Linked DNA regions of Caenorhabditis elegans. The protein of the gene in region 1 interacts with the protein of each later gene in a pairwise test. Each region holds a gene or a part of one and is shown on either strand. Other genes may lie near its edges. The genes, in order: ppfr-4 and pph-4.1.

Region 1 (7,457 bases):
GAAAATCCTGAAATTAATCTAAATTTCGTTGTTTTTCAGGTAGAAACACCAAAAATCAGTCGATGTTTAAGATTTTCCTTTCAAAAATTCACCGAAAATGAAAAAAGATTGATTTGCCACCAAATACCTAACGAGACCCGACTCTTGGGGGCGGATTTTTATGGAAAATTTACGATAAAATCGAAATATTTTCCAAATGTTTTGAACTCAAAATCCTGAGAATGCGTATTGCACAACACATTTGACGCGCAAAATATCTCGCAGCGAAAACTACAGTAATGACTACTGTAGGTGTCGATTTACGGGGCTTGGCGGCAGCTCGTAAATCCACACTTACAGTAGTGATTACTGTAGTTTTCGCTGCGAGATATTTTACGCGTCAAATGTGTTGTGCAGAATATCTCGCAGCGAAAACTACAGTAATGACTACCGTGTTCAAAAAAACAAAAAATTGGGAAAATAACTTGATCTTTCCTGGAAAACACTGAAAAATCGTATATTTTCCAGAAAAATACGCTCCGCCCCCAACAGGCGGGTCTCGTTAGGTATTTGTAGACAAAACTTTAAATTCAAATGTTTTTGTCACGTTTTTCATTAGTTTAATAAATTTTTATGCCGAAATTTATAAAATAACATAAGTTCGACGAAAAAATCAATAAAATCGATGGAAAATTGAAAATTTTCCTAACGAGACCCAACTGTTGGGGGCGGAGCGTTACCAATTGTCCGTGGAGCGCGTTTTCACGTCGATTTCAAAAGGAATTTCAATTTTTTTCCAGAGACGGAGCTCTTCGAGTCATTCGACCGCTGGTGATGGTTCGCGAGAAGGCTCTACGAAATTTCGCCGAGGATAAAAGTATTTTCAGCGATTTTTTTTTTGAATTTATCTCCAAATAAATAATTTTCCAGAACTCCCAGTTGTCGCGGAAAACTGCCCGGCATGCTTCAACCAGGCCACCGAACGTCACCGTGTCAAGCAGCTCCTGGCTCAGCAGGAGCTCATCTTCCCCGACTTGTTTAATTCACTGAGATCTGCTCTGAAACCACTGCTTTTGGTGGGTGATTTATGGGTTTTCAAGCTCTAGTAACGCGGGATGTCCCTTGAAATGGCAGAGTTTTGGGAAGCTCGGCCGCGACGCAGCAGCGCGCGGAGCGGCTCAGGCAAAAACGTTGATTCTGTTTTTTTTTCTACCAGAAAATGATAAAATCAATGTGTTCGTCTGAGCCGCTCCGCATGCAGCTGCGTCGCGGCCGAGCTTCCCAAGCTGAAAACTCTTCCATTTAAATATAAGAGGGACTCTGAGCCCCCTTGAGCTCTTTTTTTCAAATCTAATAAATGTTTTCCAGGTTGATTCGGCGCACACCAGCGTGATGCGGAGCCAGGCGGTGCATAATATTGTGAAGGAAATGTCATAGGGAATTTTTCCTATAAAAATTAAAATTTTCCTATTAAAAAAAATATTTAAATATTTTTCTTGTTGTTAAATGTTAATCGTAATTCGTCCTTGAGCGTTTGAATGTTTTTTTGATGTTTTGGTTTGTTGAATAAAAACTTTCAAAAATAAAACCGACAACTGACACATTGATGAAAAAGTGAGTAAAAAGTTAGTCAGCTGTTCCATCGGAAGCCGGCTCAAAGCTCTCAAGCTCCAAAGCTCCAAAGCTCCGAGCCAGTCTGCCGCCGGAATGCGGATCGCCTTGATTTTCCTCGTTCTCCTCGTTTCCTTCGCCTCGTCATGCAAGAATTTCGATAAATATATGAATATGTTCTGCCGTTACGGCTTGGAGCAATCCCCATGCACTGTTGAGGATTGTAAGTTTTTTTATTTATTGATTTTTTGTGTTTTGTTTCAAAAGATTCATAATTAATTTCAGATAGCACCTACAAATCCGCGTGCTGTGCCATGAAGAACAACTGCTCGTACAAGGAATTCCCGAAGGATGATGTCTGCTGCTTCACTGTTGAGTGCCTCAAGAGATGCTTCCCGGAGAAGCTGCTCAAGAACGATAAAGTCTATTAAATAATTGGATTTTGATGTTTTAATTTTTTTCCAATAAAGCCAATTTTTTAGACTAAATTTTCGGCGATTTTCTTCTTTTTTGAGATAATTTTTCAAATTTCGCGCGGGAAAAGTGATTTTGCGCCACTTTTTGAGCCTCTGCGGCCATAATCGAAGACTTTCAAAAAAACGAGTTTCTCCACTTTTTGACTCGAAATAAAGCGTTTTCCGAAACATTTTGAACGTTTTATTAAATATGATTTTTGGTCATTTTGACAGTGTTTGAATTGTTTTTCCGTTGTTAAAGGAAAAATGACACGATTTCCCATAAAAACCCTTTAAAAACAAGCAAATTTGAGTTTTTTTGAACGTTTTCTCCATAAATTTCGATAAAAAACCGAAAATTCCGTCTGAAAAGTTGTAAAATGTGTTCCAGAAAAAAACAAAAAATTGTTTTTTCAGAAATCTGTGCAATATTGCGTGAGGGTGTTTGCACAAGTGTCGTCAAATCGGGTGTTTTCTATTTTCGTTTTGTTTATTGAAAAATTTTCGCTCACTGAAAACGGGTTTTCTCTGCGAAACCTGAATTTTTCCTCGTTTGTTCAATTAAAAATTGATTATTTAAATTTCAGAGCATGTCAGAGCTATCAGATGAAGAAATTTCCTTGCAAGCGCTTTACGATCCGAGCAAAAAGGTGATCGGCGATATTGAAGATGGGATTTTTTCCACCCCGGAGCTCCAACCTCGCATCAAAACGGGAATTGATAATCTCCAGTTGGTCACGAAGCTTGTGAATCAGATGAGATTGTTTTCGTCGAATGAGCAGGTTTTTTATCGAAAAAAAAAAAGATTATTTCTGAAATTAAATGATTTTTTTTCAGATTGAAGACGTTCCAACAAACTCGCTGCCCTATCTCCTTGTCCCATGTTTTTTGGGAATTCTCCACCAAAATTTGATGACTGAGCCCGGCCTGAAGCTCGACGAACTGAGAAAATCCAAAATTTATATGCGAAATTTTCTGGATCGCCTCCGAGATTTGTGCCTGATCACCACCAGATTACCATGGGAAGATGAGGATACAGAAGAGCAAAATTTAAAGGAGAAGCCGAAGCTTGCAGTTGAAGAGATCAGAAGATTGAAGTTGGAGCGTCACAAGAAGAAGCAAGAGCTCAAAATGGCGGAGCTCAGGATCCAAAAGCAGCTGGAAGCCGTTTCAATTGATGAGCAGAATCTCAGAGAGCTCTATATTACTCAGTTATTGTTCTGGAGTGAAAGATGTTACGAGGAGTTGCAGGCGATTGATGGTGTGTAGAATATCGCCTAGTTTCCATGGAAAAATTATTTTTAAAAATCACGAAAAATCGGAATTAATGTGATTTTCTGGCAGAAAAACGCAATGTTATCATATTTTTTTTCTGAGAACTCGAAGAAAACTGGAATTTTTGCTTGAAAAATCGTTTTGTTGCTCTAAAAATGCTCAAAATGGCTTCGAAATGCCGAATTTCATGGAAAATAAGGAGAAAAATGGCTAAATTTAGCTAAACTTCCGGATTTCGCACATTTTTTCATTAATTTAACGATGTTTCCAGACGAATGGTAACCAAAACACAGAAAAACAGCAAATATGTTCAAATTATGATCTTTTATTCGAGAAAAAAACTATTTTTCTGTGCGACGCTGCTTTTTAAAGATTTTTTGTAATTTTTTTAAACTATTATTTTAAAAAATCGAAAAATTCAATTTTCAGGGTCATTTTGAGGCTCTAAGAGCTATAAAATTCGTTTTTACCCACAGACAATTAAAAAAAAAGCAAAAAAAGGAAAAATAATAATTAACTCATTTTTTAAATTTTTGCAAAACTCCTTTAAAATTAGAAAGTTGTAAAAAAAATTTCGAATTTTCAATTATTCAAAAATTGGAAAAAAATTAGACAATTAACAGGAAAATTCATTTCTTTTATCAAATCTGGTTTATTTTGATTTGAAAAATCAGAAAATATATAGTTTTCTTCTACAAACAAAAAAATGATCAAATCACGACCAAATCGGAGATTTCCGCTAAATTTTGGACTTTTTTCTTGTTTGTAGAAAAAAAAGATATATTTTCTAAAGTTTTTCATCAAAATAAATCTAAATTTTTTTTTCGATTTTTGAATTAAAAAAATTAATTATTCAAAAATCGAAAAAAAAATTTATTTTGATGAAAAACTTCAGAAAATATATCATTTTTTTTCTACAAACAAGAAAAAAGTCCAAAATTTAGCTAAAATCTCCGATTTGGTCGTATTTTGGTCATTTTTTTGTTTGTAGAAGAAAACTATATATTTTCTGATTTTTCAAATCAAAATAAACCACATTTGATAAAAGAAATGAATTTTCCTGTTAATTGTCTAATTTTTTTCCAATTTTTGAATAATTGAAAATTCGAAATTTTTTTAAACAAAAAAATAAAAAAAATTTAAATAATAAGTTAATTATTATTTTTATTTTTTGCAAATTTTTTAATTTTCTGTCAGTAAAAAAGTTTTTTAATAGTTTTTAGAGCCTCAAAATGACCCTGAAAAATTGAATTTTTCGAGTTTTGAATAATTTTCAGTTCTTCATGGCCAAGCCTTTTAAGCCTTTTAGAGCAGAAAGCGACGTTTTTAAAAACGGAAAACAATTTTCAGACGAGCTTCCACTGCTGAAAATGATGGCTGAACGAGCATCTCACCCACATCGTCATCCAGCTCCACCACCAGCAACAAAGACAGTTCCAACACTTAAACCCTTCATTATTACCAGAGATGCTCAACAGAAGCAGGTCTTTGGGCTCGGATATCCAGGAATTCCAGCGATGAGTGTCGATGAATGGTATCATCAGAAATTCGGTCATAATCCACAAAATGCTCCACAATCGTCGGCTCCAGCCGGGGCAGAAGCTCAAGAATCCGAAGAAGAGGTTGATGATGACGAGGCGAGAGCGAAGGCGATGCGTTGGGATGAATATAAGGATGATCATCGACGTGGATGGGGAAATATGCACAATAAAGGATAAATTATATTGTAGATCTCTACTTTTACGCGGGATTCCTAGCTCCCGCATGTGTCGATTTACGCGGCTTGTGTACTTCACGAGGAGAAGGCGAAAAATTTTGAAAAATCTGCATTTTTTGAATGGAAAAATTGCAGAATTGGCAATTTTCGGCGGATTATTTTGAGAATTAAAAAAAAATTGCAGTTTTTATGGGAAAAAATTTTTTGATAAAATTATTGAAAATTTTTTCCGCGAAAATCTGCAATTATCCGTTTTTTACGATATTTTTCTAGAAAAAAATCAATAAAATTGCGGTTTTCTGGAAATTTCAAAAAATTCCAGGTTTTTCGAAAATTTTGAAAAATAAATTATTCAAATAGAGATATTTCAGATATTTCTTTCAAAAAACTTGAAAATTTGCGTTTTTTTGAAAATTCTGAAAAAATTCAATAAAACCGCGGTGTTCTCTTTGAAATTCTCAAAAATCACTGGTTTTTTTTTGGGAAAATTCAAAAAATTGAGGATTTTTCACTAAGAAGTCTCAAAAAAAAATTCGCCGAATTTCCTGAAAATTCTCAAAATTTTCCATAAAAATTGCGGATTTTAGCAAGAGTTTTTTTCAAAAAAAAAATCGGATTTTTCCAAAAAAAAGTTCCCTTCACTTCGGGGAGTTCACGAGCCGCGTAAATCGACATTTTTATACGGCGTCTTATTTTCGTTTCGAATAAATGTGAAACTGTAAATAATTATATTTTATTATATTTTTTTTTGCATTTTTAAAGGGTTTTTACCTTTTTTATACATAAGTTCCAAAATATTTTTCAGATTTTCAGAAAAAAAAAATTTCAGAATGGCATTCCGTAAGCGTCGTCACGATTCGGAAGGAGATTCCGATGAAGAGAGACTTCCGATCAATAAAGATGAAGATGAGGATCTGAAAGCTGTAAGGAGCACGATTTTTGGCTGAAAATCGGGGATTTTCTACCTTGAAAATGAAAAAATTGGCAAAAACTAACCATTTTCGTAACAAATTTCGATTTTTGATTAAAAAAAAACCGAAAAAATCAAGAAAAAGTTTCACAATTCGGATTTTCTCTTAAAAAAAACTATTTTTGACGAAATTTTGAAACTTTTTTGTAAAAAATTCAATAAAACAAGATTTTAAGCACTTTTTTCGGATTTTTCAGAAAATAAAAATTTTTTAGAACAGTTTCTTTTCAGAAAAAATCAAAACTTTTTTTTTTCAATTTTTAATCGAAAAATCGGCAAAAAGCTACTTTTGTCTTCAAAATTCTGAGAAAATATCCATTTTTTACATTCTTACTCAATTTTTTGAAAAAAAAAAAGATTTTTCTTAAAAAATGTATTTCCGATAAAATTTTAGCAATTTTCCTCAATTTTTTTGGCGATTTTTCGATTAAAAACTTGAAAAAATTCGAAAAAAGCGCTTAAAAACTAGCTTTATTGAATTTCACTCAAAAAAAAACTGAAAAAAAGAGTTATACAAATAACAGGAACTGAAGAGTAAAATAAAAAAACATTCTATTAAAAAAAACCGGTTTTAATTATTTTTTTCTCAATGTTTTAATTAATAAATTGATAATTTTGATTTAGTGTTAAAAATAATCAAAAATCTAATTTTCGGTCTATTTTCTAATTTTTTTGAGAGAAATTTCTACTTTGAAAAAATTATTTTCAAATTTTCAAAGCTTAAGTTTCTCTCAAAAATTAAGAAAATAGACCGAAAATTTGATTTTTTTTAAAGCTAAATCAGAAATTATCAATTTATTAATTAAAAAATCGGAAAAAAATTAATTTCATTTTTTAAATAGAAAATACGATTAATATAATTTTTTGAAACAAAGAAAAATACCCGAAAATTGTAAATAATTATTGAAAAATATTAAAAAAATTTCCAGGAACCGGCAAAAAAGTCGAAAAACATGTGGTCAGATATGTTGCTCGAGGAGCAACTTCTCGAAAAAGGTCAACAAATTAATTTGGATCGAACATCAAGAAAGCAGCCAAATGTTTCACGTGGTCCTGAATCTTATTTGATGCCACAGGACGAATTTCAGCGGAAACAATCGAGAAATGCTAATCAAAAGAAAAAGAATGAGGTGTTCGATGTGAGGAAGCTTGAATTTCTGGGATTTTATTGGAAAAAATGCGATTTTCTGGCAAAAATTATCAGAAAAATGCGCAAAATTGGTGTTTTCAGCTGCTTTTTTTGAAAAAATAATTTAATTTAAAAAAAAAATGTTGCCTTTTTTTTTTTTTGGAAAAATTGCAGTAAAAAGCAATTTTTGAAAATGAATGTATATTAATTGTCAGAAAAATAATTGAATTTAATTTAAAAATTCTAAAAAAACTAGTTTTCTAGCAAAAAGCTACGAAAACCAACATTTTCTGCTCAGTTTTTAAAATTTTGAGAAAAAAT
Region 2 (10,050 bases), 9.7 Mb from region 1:
CAACAATTTTGCCAGTTTTTAGCTAAATTAAATTTTAAAGTGTTCAAATAATAGATAAAATAATATAAATATATATATATATTGTACGATTTTGACTGTTTCATGTCTAATTTTTGACGATGAATGGTAAATTTTACAAAGCTATTGGATCTTCGAAAATTAGTCTTGCAGCCTCTAATAGTCTTGCACCCCTACGGGTCAATTGAAAATTAGTCTTGCATGCAAGACTAATAGAGGAAATACGGTATATTATTGAAACGTGAAAACGCGCTCCACGGATAATAAGAAACGCTCCACCCACGAACCATGGGTCTCGTTAGGTTTTTGGTCGAAAAACCGGTCTGAATTCCCGATTTTTCCGCCAAATTCTTAACGAGACTTCAATTGCCCGTGGAGCGCGTTTTCTGCGTCCTTATAACTACCCCGTGAGCCAAGAAATTGACGACAAACAATGGACGTGCCCGTTGTGCACAACTTTTCGGAAATTCGAACCATGGAGAATCAGTGAGACAGATTTTCGAAATACGATCGTCTCCGCCAAACTTTTTGAGCTGAAATTTAATGAAATTATATGATTTTGGCGGGTCTCGACGCGACAAATTTTTGTTAAATAGAAAAATGTGTGCGCCTTTAAAGAGTACTGTAATTTAATTTTTCACACGATTTTTTTTCGAATAAAAATGCATTTTTAACTATTTTCCGCTGTTTTTAAATTTGAAAACAGATTTCAGGACTTTTTTCGGCAAAAAAAAAGCGAAAAAACGGGGTTTTTAAGGCAAAATTCCATGTTTTCCTCAATTTTGGGTCTCGAAGCGACAAATTTTTGTTGAATACAAAAAAGTGTGCGCCTTTAAAGAGTACTGTAGTTTTAAATTTTAGTTTCTGTGAAATTTATCGATTTTTCGTAGTTTTTCTAAATAAAAATATTTTTTAATCGAAAAAATTTAAAAAAAATCGCGAAAACTAAATTAAAAAAATTTTTTTCGATTTTTTTTCAAAAGATTAAAAAATATTTTTATTTAGAAAAACTACGAAAACTCGATAAATTTCACAGAAACAAAAATTAGAAATTACAGTAATCTTTAAAGGCGCATACCTTTTTTTCTTATTCCTTGAACACAATTTTGTCGTGGCGAGACCTGAAACAGGGGTTTTTGCCTTAAAAAATCGCGAAAATGTCGATTTTTCGCCAAAAAAAGCTGAAAATAGTTTAAAATCCCATTTTTATTCAAAAAATTCAGAAAAACAGGGATTTTCGCCTTAAAAATCCGGAAATATGTCGTTTTTTCGCTTTTTTTGCCAAAAAAAAAGCTGAAAATATATTAAAATTGCATTTTCCTTTAAAAAAATCAGAAAAACAGGGATTTTTGCCTTAAAAAATCGGAGAAAAGTCGTTTTTTCGCTCTTTTTTAGCCAAAAAAAAGCTGAAAACAGTTTAAATCCCATTTTTATTCAAAAATTCAAAAAAACAGGGTTTTTTTGCCTTAAAAAATCAAAAAAAAAGTCGATTTTTTCACTCTTTTTTGCCAAAAAAAAAGTGCTGAAAACAGTTTAAAATCGCATTTTTATCCAAAAACTCAGAAAAACAGGGTTTTATGGCTTAAAAATTCGGAAAAAGTCAATTTTTTCGTTCATTTTTAGCCAAAAAAAAGCTGAAAACAGTTTAAAATCGCATTTTTATTCAAAAATTCAGAAAAACAGGGATTTTCGCCTTAAAAATCCGGAAATATGTCGTTTTTTCGCTCTTTTTTGCCAAAAAAAAAGCTGAAAATAGATTAAAATTGCATTTTCCTTTAAAAAATTCAGAAAAACAGGGATTTTCGCCTTGAAAAATCGGAAAAACATCGATTTTTTCGCTTTTTTTTGCCAAAAAAGTGCTGAAAATCCCACCACACTGGCTGTGTCGTAACCACCACGACTGTGAGCCACCACGTAGATGCTCTTAGCATTCGATGGCTCAATACACGCTATCCAGACAGTTTCAGCGTGCTCGACAGGTGTGCGGGAGTACTGAAAATCGATTTTTCAGCGAATTTTTCGAAATTTCCCGGGTTTTTTCACACCTTCAAATCCTGATCTTTACTTTCATTCAAATTAGTGTTCATCACCACAACACCCCATCCATTTTCAATAGCTCTTTCGATATACGGAATCTGAGTTCCACACTCCAAATTATCATTGATAATGAGTCTACGAGCCCATTGTCCGGCTCTGACGACACCGCTTCCGTGGATCAATACTAGAAGATTTGCAGCTTTTTTGAAATTTTTCGACACAAAAATGAAGCTTAGATCCTCATCCTCGTCGGTTTTTCCTGGAAGTTTTAGCTGAAAAAAAATTTTTTTTTTTGATTTTTAAATTTTTTTTTCCATTTTTTAAAAATTTCTTAATTTACCGCCTTTCTCTTCAGCCCACAACGTGTCTCCAGAAGCTCATAAACTTCCAGATCAACTGCTTCTCCCAGTTCTTCATAATCCTCCTGTGTAGTGAATTTGAAGGGTTTTTTGTCCTTCTCCGTTTTCAGCACGCCTTTTTCGTCGAAAAAGTACCCGAGTTTCGCCAAACTTGACATTGTTCACTGAAATTTATTTGAATTATTCGCAAAAAAACTGGTTAGAACAGAGAAAATTTCCGAAAAAACAATTTTTAAAATTAAAAAAAAAAAAAAATTTCCTGGCCGCGACCGAGGTTTCTCTCGTCCACACGGCGCAATCGCGCTCTGTTGGCAATCTGGCACAATGCCAATATTACACTGAATTTATATTTTTGCACGAAAAACTCTGGATTTAAAGTCGATTTCGCCTGTTTTCATTGGTTTTTTTCGTTTTTTCGTTTTTAAATTAAATATTAATTCAAAAAATCGATTTACAACGTATTTTACAGCTTTTAATGGCTCTGGCGTGCACCGACTCTGCAAATTCCACATTTTCACGTGTCGACTCACCGACTTCCGGCCCATCGGACCAGCTAACAACTCATGACTTGGATCGGTAGCAGTTTTGATATAAAAACAATAAAATATCAACAAAAAAAAAATATTTTCAGCCACATAGAAAAGCTGATGAGATGTGAGCTCATCGCGGAGCAAGATGTCAAAACACTTTGCGCAAAAGCTCGTGAAATCCTAGCGGAAGAGGGCAACGTCCAGGTTATCGATTCTCCGGTGACGGTTGGTTGGATAAAATCGATTTTTAAATCAAAATTTCCATTTTAAATTCTATTTCCAGATCTGCGGAGACATCCACGGCCAGTTCTACGATTTAATGGAGCTCTTCAAAGTCGGCGGACCAGTGCCGAACACCAACTATTTGTTCCTCGGAGATTTCGTGGATCGAGGCTTCTATTCTGTGGAGGTGCCCCCGCTTTTTTGCAATTTTCCTGGCGAAAAAATTGCAAAAAAAACTCCCAAAAAATCGATATTTTTCCAGACATTCCTTCTACTTCTCGCACTGAAAGCTCGCTATCCGGATCGAATGATGTTGATCCGTGGAAATCACGAAAGTCGCCAGATTACTCAAGTCTACGGGTTCTATGATGAATGCCTTCGGAAATATGGAAATGCGTCTGTTTGGAAACATTGTACCGAAGTTTTCGACTACTTATCACTTGCCGCTGTAATTGATGGGAAGGTTTTCTGTGTTCATGGTGGATTATCCCCGTCGATTAGTACTATGGATCAGATTCGTGTTATTGATCGGAAGCAGGAGGTAAAACGCAAAAAATATGCTGTTTTTAATGGAATTTTGCTTTGAATTTCGGTTAAAATTCGGTGAATTACAATTTTTTAAATTTCCGGCATTTTGCCGAATTTGCCGGAAAGTTTTAAAATTTTCGAAAATGAAAATAACCGACAAATCTGCAAATTGCCGGAATTTAAAAATTTCCGGCAAATCAGCAAACCGGCAAATTTGCCCAAAATGAAAATAACCGGCAAATCGACAAATTGCCGGAATTAAAAATTTCTGGCAAATCGACAAACTGCCGTAATGAAACTTTCTGGCAAATCGACAAATTGCCGAAAATGAAAATAACCGGCAAATCGACAAATTGCCGGAATTAAAATTTTCTGGCAAATCGGCAAATGTTCGAATTAAAAAATTTGTGGCAAATTGGCGAAATTGAAAATTTCCGGCAAATCGAAAAATTGCCGGAATTAAAAAATTCCGGCAAATCGGCAAATTGCCGTAATTAAAAATTTCTGGCAAATCGGAAAATTGCCATGTTTAAAAATTTTCGGCAAATCGGAAAATTGCCGAAATTGAAAATTTCCGGCAATTCGTCAAATTGCCGGAATTTAAAAATTTCCGGCAAGTCGGAAATTTGCCGAATTCGCCGGAAAAACGGCAAATTGCCGGAATTAAAAATTTCCGGCAAATCGGCAAATTGCTGGAATTGATAATTTCCGGCAAATCGGCAAATTGCTGGAATTGATAATTTCCGGCAAATCGGCAAATTGCCGGAATTTAAAAATTTCCGGCAAGTCGGAAATTTGCCGAATTCGCCGGAAAAACGGCAAATTGCCGGAATTAAAAATTTCCGGCAAATCGACAAACTGCCGAAAATGAAAATTTCTGGCAAATCGGCAAATTGCTGGAATTGATAATTTCCGGCAAATTTCCGGAATTAAGATTTTCTGGCAAATCGGCAATTTGTCGATCATGAAAATAACCGTCAAATCGACAAATTTCCGGAATTAAAATTTTCTGGCAAATCGGCAAATTGCCGAAAATGAAAATAACCAGAAAATCGGCAAATTTCCGAAAATTTCCGTTTAAAAAAAAATTTCCGTTTTTTTCATTAAAAATTTTTTTTTTTAATTTTCAGACTTTTTTCTAATTTTTTCTCATCAAAATCGACCAATTTAATTTTTATTTCATTTATTTCGATTTTTTCCCCGAAAAATACTAAAAAATTCAAAAAATAGTCTCAAAATCAGAAAAAAACCACAAAAACGCGATTTTTGTCTTCAACCAATCAGCGATTCGCTCCGCCCACTTTTCAACCAATCAGATGGAGTGGGCGGAGTTTGAGTTCTCATTTTGGAGGGAATTCAAAATTGAAAAATCTTTTTATTTTTCTGAATTTGATACTATTTCGGATATTTTGAAGCGAAATTTCAAAATTTACGTTAAATTTTTCGAGAAATCACTTTTTTCCAGCGGGGCGAAGGTTTTGCAAGTCTGCGGTTTGCTATATTTCGATTTACGGAGAATTTTGTAATACACACGGACAAGCGTCGATTAATTTTTTAATTTTTTCTAATAGTAAATTTACAGTTTTGGGCCATTTTTGCCAATTTTTTTTGGTGTTCAACATTAAAAATTGGGTCCATATATATATATTTTTTGAATAGTGTTTACAAAAAAAATTACAGAACTGAAGAACAATTCGAAAAAAAAAAAAAAACGCTTATCCACGTGTAGCACAAACTCCACCGTAAATCGACAGAAATCAAACCGCGCCGCAGGTTTGCAAAACCACCGTTCCGCCTCAAAAATTGAAAAAAAAATCAATTTTTTAATCAAATTTTGTTCGTTTTGATAGAAAAACGTATAAATTTGTGCTAAAAAAGCGAAAAAAAATTCTGAAAATTTCCAGGTTCCCCACGACGGTCCAATGTGTGATCTACTGTGGTCGGACCCCGAAGAAGGAAATGTTGGATGGGGCCTAAGTCCACGCGGAGCCGGTTATCTATTCGGAGCGGACGCGTCGAAAACGTTTTGCGAAACGAACGGAGTCGATTTGATCTGTAGAGCTCATCAATTGGTTATGGAAGGATATAAATGGCATTTCAACGAGAAAGTGCTCACTGTTTGGTCGGCGCCCAACTATTGTTATCGGTACGGGATGGATTTGGAAAAAAAACGGAAATTTTTTTTTCGTGAAAAAGACGAAAAATTAAAATTTTTGGTCACTTTTTTATCATTTAAAGTATAATTTTTAGGAAAAAATACAATTTTTTTCTGAAAATTTGAATTTTCCCGCTAAAATTTGTTTCCAAAAAATTTAAATTTTCCCGCCAAAATTTGATTCCAAAAAAATTCAAATTTTCCGGCCAAAATTTGTTTCCAAAAAATTTGAATTTTCCCGCCAAAATTTGTTTCCAAAAAATTTGAATTTTCCCGCCAAAATTTGTTTCCAAAAAATTTGAATTTTCCGGCCAAAATTTGTTTCCAAAAAATTTGAATTTTCCCGTCAAAATATGTTTTTAAAAGAAAATTTAAATTTTCCCGCCAAAATTTGTTTCCAGAAAATTTGAATTTTCCCGCCAAAATTTGTTTCCAAAAAATTTAAATTTTCCCGCCAAAATTTGTTTCCAAAAAATTTGAATTTTCCCGCCAAAATTTGTTTCCAAAAAATTTGAATTTTCCGGCCAAAATTTGTTTCCAAAAAATTTGAATTTTCCCGTCAAAATATGTTTTTAAAAGAAAATTTAAATTTTCCCGCCAAAATTTGTTTCCAGAAAATTTGAATTTTCCCGCCAAAATTTGTTTCCAGAAAATTTAAATTTTCCCGCCAAAATTTGTTTCCAGAAAATTTGAATTTTCCCGCCAAAATTTGATTCCAGAAAATTTGAATTTTCCCGCCAAAATTTGTTTCCAAAAAATTTGAATTTTCCCGCCAAAATTTGTTTCCAAAAAATTTGAATTTTCCCGCCAAAATTTGTTTCCAAAAAATTTGAATTTTCCCGCCAAAATTTGTTTCCAAAAAATTTGAATTTTCCCGCCAAAATTTGTTTCCAAAAAAATTTACACTTCCCGCCAAAATTTGTTTCCAAAAAATTTGAATTTTCCCGTCAAAATATGTTTTTAAAAGAAAATTTAAATTTTCCCGCCAAAATTTGTTTCCAGAAAATTTGAATTTTCCCGCCAAAATTTGTTTCCAAAAAATTTGAATTTTCCCGCCAAAATTTGTTTCCAAAAAATTTGAATTTTCCCGTCAAAATATGTTTTTAAAAGAAAATTTAAATTTTCCCGCCAAAATTTGTTTCCAAAAAATTCAAATTTTCCCGCCAAAATTTGTTTCCAAAAAATTTGAATTTTCCGGCCAAAATTTGTTTCCAAAAAATTTGAATTTTCCCGTCAAAATATGTTTTTAAAAGAAAATTTAAATTTTCCCGCCAAAATTTGTTTCCAGAAAATTTGAATTTTCCCGCCAAAATTTGTTTCCAAAAAATTTGAATTTTCCCGTCAAAATATGTTTTTAAAAGAAAATTTAAATTTTCCCGCCAAAATTTGTTTCCAAAAAATTTAAATTTTCCCGCCAAAATTTGTTTCCAGAAAATTTGAATTTTCCCGCCAAAATTTGTTTCCAAAAAATTTGAATTTTCCCGCCAAAATTTGTTTCCAAAAAATTTGAATTTTCCCGTCAAAATATGTTTTTAAAAGAAAATTTAAATTTTCCCGCCAAAATTTGTTTCCAGAAAATTTGAATTTTCCCGCCAAAATTTGATTCCAGAAAATTTGAATTTTCCCGCCAAAATTTGTTTCCAGAAAATTTGAATTTTCCCGCCAAAATTTGTTTCCAAAAAATTTGAATTTTCCCGCCAAAATTTGTTTCCAAAAAATTTGAATTTTCCCGTCAAAATATGTTTTTAAAAGAAAATTTAAATTTTCCCGCCAAAATTTGTTTCCAAAAAATTCAAATTTTCCGGCCAAAATTTGTTTCCAAAAAATTTGAATTTTCCCGCCAAAATTTGTTTCCAAAAAATTTGAATTTTCCGGCCAAAATTTGTTTCCAAAAAATTTGAATTTTCCCGTCAAAATATGTTTTTAAAAGAAAATTTAAATTTTCCCGCCAAAATTTGTTTCCAGAAAATTTGAATTTTCCCGCCAAAATTTGATTCCAGAAAATTTGAATTTTCCCGCCAAAATTTGTTTCCAAAAAATTTGAATTTTCCCGCCAAAATTTGTTTCCAAAAAATTTGAATTTTCCCGCCAAAATTTGTTTCCAAAAAATTTGAATTTTCCCGCCAAAATTTGTTTCCAAAAAAATTTAAACTTCCCGCCAAAATTTGTTTCCAAAAAATTTGAATTTTCCCGTCAAAATATGTTTTTAAAAGAAAATTTAAATTTTCCCGCCAAAATTTGTTTCCAGAAAATTTGAATTTTCCCGCCAAAATTTGATTCCAGAAAATTTGAATTTTCCCGCCAAAATTTGTTTCCAAAAAATTTGAATTTTCCCGCCAAACTTTGTTCCCAAAAAATTTGAATTTTCCCGCCAAAATTTGTTTCCAAAAAATTTAAATTTTCCCGCCAAAATTTGTTTCCAGAAAATTTAAAATTTTCCCGCCAAAATCACGTAGTGCCAGAGTGTCCCATTTCGGTTTGATCTACAAAAATGCGGGAGAAGTGACGCACTGATTTTGCATGATTAAGAACGTGTTGACGTCACATTTTTTGGACAAAAAAATCCCGCATTTTTTGTAGATCAAACCCAAAAATTTGTTTCAAAAGAAAAATTGAATTTCCCGGAAAACTTGAGCTTTTTTTGCAGTAAAAAAAAACTTAATGAAAATTTTCCAGATGCGGCAACGTGGCGGCAATTCTCGAGCTCGACGAGAATCTCAACAAGGAATTCACAATTTTCGAAGCTGCTCCACAAGAAAATCGCGGAGCACCGGCCAAAAAACCGCACGCCGACTATTTCCTCTAATTTTTTCTCGAAATTTTCTCGAAATTTCTTTCTCGCCCAAAAATTCCGAAGAATCTCCCCCTTTTATATCGCCGAAACACCATTTTTTTCCTTTTTTTTTTGCTCCCACAAAAATATTTCAATATTTAATTATTATTTTCCACACACACACACACATTTTTCTGTAAATGTCCACCCCCCTCCAAATTTTACGGATTTATTTTTTTTTCGACAAAAAAAAGTATTAAAATTTATTTCATGCTATTCATTTTTAAAACCGATTTGATTTGAAACAAAAAAAAACAATTAACCGTATTTGGGGAGTGAGAAATGGGAAAAAAATAAAACATGAAAATGGAATTTTTCACAGAAAAAATCGAAGTAAAATACAATTGATTGGATAAAATGGGAAAGCTGCGACCAATCAGGTGGAGTGGGCGGAGTGGGCGGAGTTCAAAGTCGCTGATTGGTCGGTGAGAAATTGAGAAAAAAATGGATTTTTGAAGCTTTAAATATAACATTTTGGATAAAAATAACTAGTTTTCAAAGATTTTTTAATTTTTTAATATTTTTTTCGCTCAAAAAATCCTTCAGCTTGGCTCAAATTGCTGGAAATTCTCATCAAAAGCCTGCTGCTCGGCAAGCTTGGCACCATCCATGTATCGGTTCAGTTCTCTTGTGATTTGATTGAGTACCACTTTAATCGCATTCGCCTCCCTCAGCTCAACCTCCTCCTTTTTGAGATTCAACTGATGGTCGGCGATCTCGAAAGCCGTCTTCGCACGGGATTTTTTCGAAGCAAACGTATTTTGAGGTAGTCCTGCGATTTTTTTGACACTCGTGTATTGTCCGTAGTCCTGTTCGGTTTTGTTGAAGGCCTGAAAATGTTGAGAATTGGGGAAAAAATTTGATTTTTCACAAAAAAAAAATTTTTTTAAAGTTTTTTTGCCAGTTTTTCTTATGTTTTTTATCACGGATTTCTGGTTTCCCTCCATAAATTGAAATGGAAGAGTTTTTGCCGAATTAGGCCAGGCCATATCTGGGGTAGATTTACGGCGCGCGTTGCGTGTCGCGTCGCGGCTCGATTGTAAAACTAAATGTATTTGTCCGTGTGGAGTACACGTTGTCCGGCGGGGGTGATTGTCAATGGAGCGCGAAAAAATCAATGAGGAAGGCCAGAAGCCCGTGAAAAAGAAAAAATTTAAAAAAAAACTATATTTGATAGTGTTTTTGGATTTTTTGTTTAGTTTAAATTTTTACTTTTTTTTTGTTGCTATTTTGCCAGTTTTTCTTATGTTTTTTATTATCAAAAATCGATAAAAATTGGATTGTTTTGTTTTTTTTACATTTTTTTCGATTTTTCAAAAAAAAAAAGCCTTAAAATTTTGGCAATTTTTCATATTTTTAGAAAAAAAA

The links.
Region 2: the proteins of ppfr-4 (region 1) and pph-4.1 interact in binary tests that used the Caenorhabditis elegans proteins (3 or more experiments, as listed by UniProt).

Annotation. Positions count from the first base shown.
Region 1 is NC_003281.10:2,617,304-2,624,760, forward strand, and holds ppfr-4 (Serine/threonine-protein phosphatase 4 regulatory subunit ppfr-4), read left to right. Parts: upstream 1-2,632; 5' UTR 2,633-2,635; coding exon 2,636-2,827; intron 2,828-2,882; coding exon 2,883-3,306; intron 3,307-4,670; coding exon 4,671-5,038; 3' UTR 5,039-5,406; downstream 5,407-7,457. Other genes in the region: Y71H2B.5 (Aminotran_5 domain-containing protein), read left to right, coding at 780-856, 910-1,055, 1,348-1,416; Y71H2B.4 (Lipoprotein), read left to right, coding at 1,687-1,813, 1,876-2,021; Y71H2B.2 (Phosphorylated adapter RNA export protein), read left to right, coding at 5,868-5,960, 6,937-7,146. UniProt on the Caenorhabditis elegans protein: Probable regulatory subunit of serine/threonine-protein phosphatase PP4 which may play a role in meiosis and embryonic mitosis.
Region 2 is NC_003281.10:12,344,170-12,354,219, reverse strand, and holds pph-4.1 (Serine/threonine-protein phosphatase 4 catalytic subunit 1), read left to right. Parts: upstream 1-2,883; 5' UTR 2,884-2,889; coding exon 2,890-2,990; intron 2,991-3,045; coding exon 3,046-3,169; intron 3,170-3,227; coding exon 3,228-3,353; intron 3,354-3,428; coding exon 3,429-3,707; intron 3,708-5,598; coding exon 5,599-5,840; intron 5,841-8,525; coding exon 8,526-8,655; 3' UTR 8,656-8,897; downstream 8,898-10,050. Other genes in the region: FAM172 family protein homolog Y75B8A.31, read right to left, coding at 423-551, 1,891-2,010, 2,064-2,327, 2,396-2,572; zip-1 (BZIP domain-containing protein), read right to left, coding at 9,225-9,512. UniProt on the Caenorhabditis elegans protein: Protein phosphatase which plays an essential role in meiosis and in early embryonic mitosis.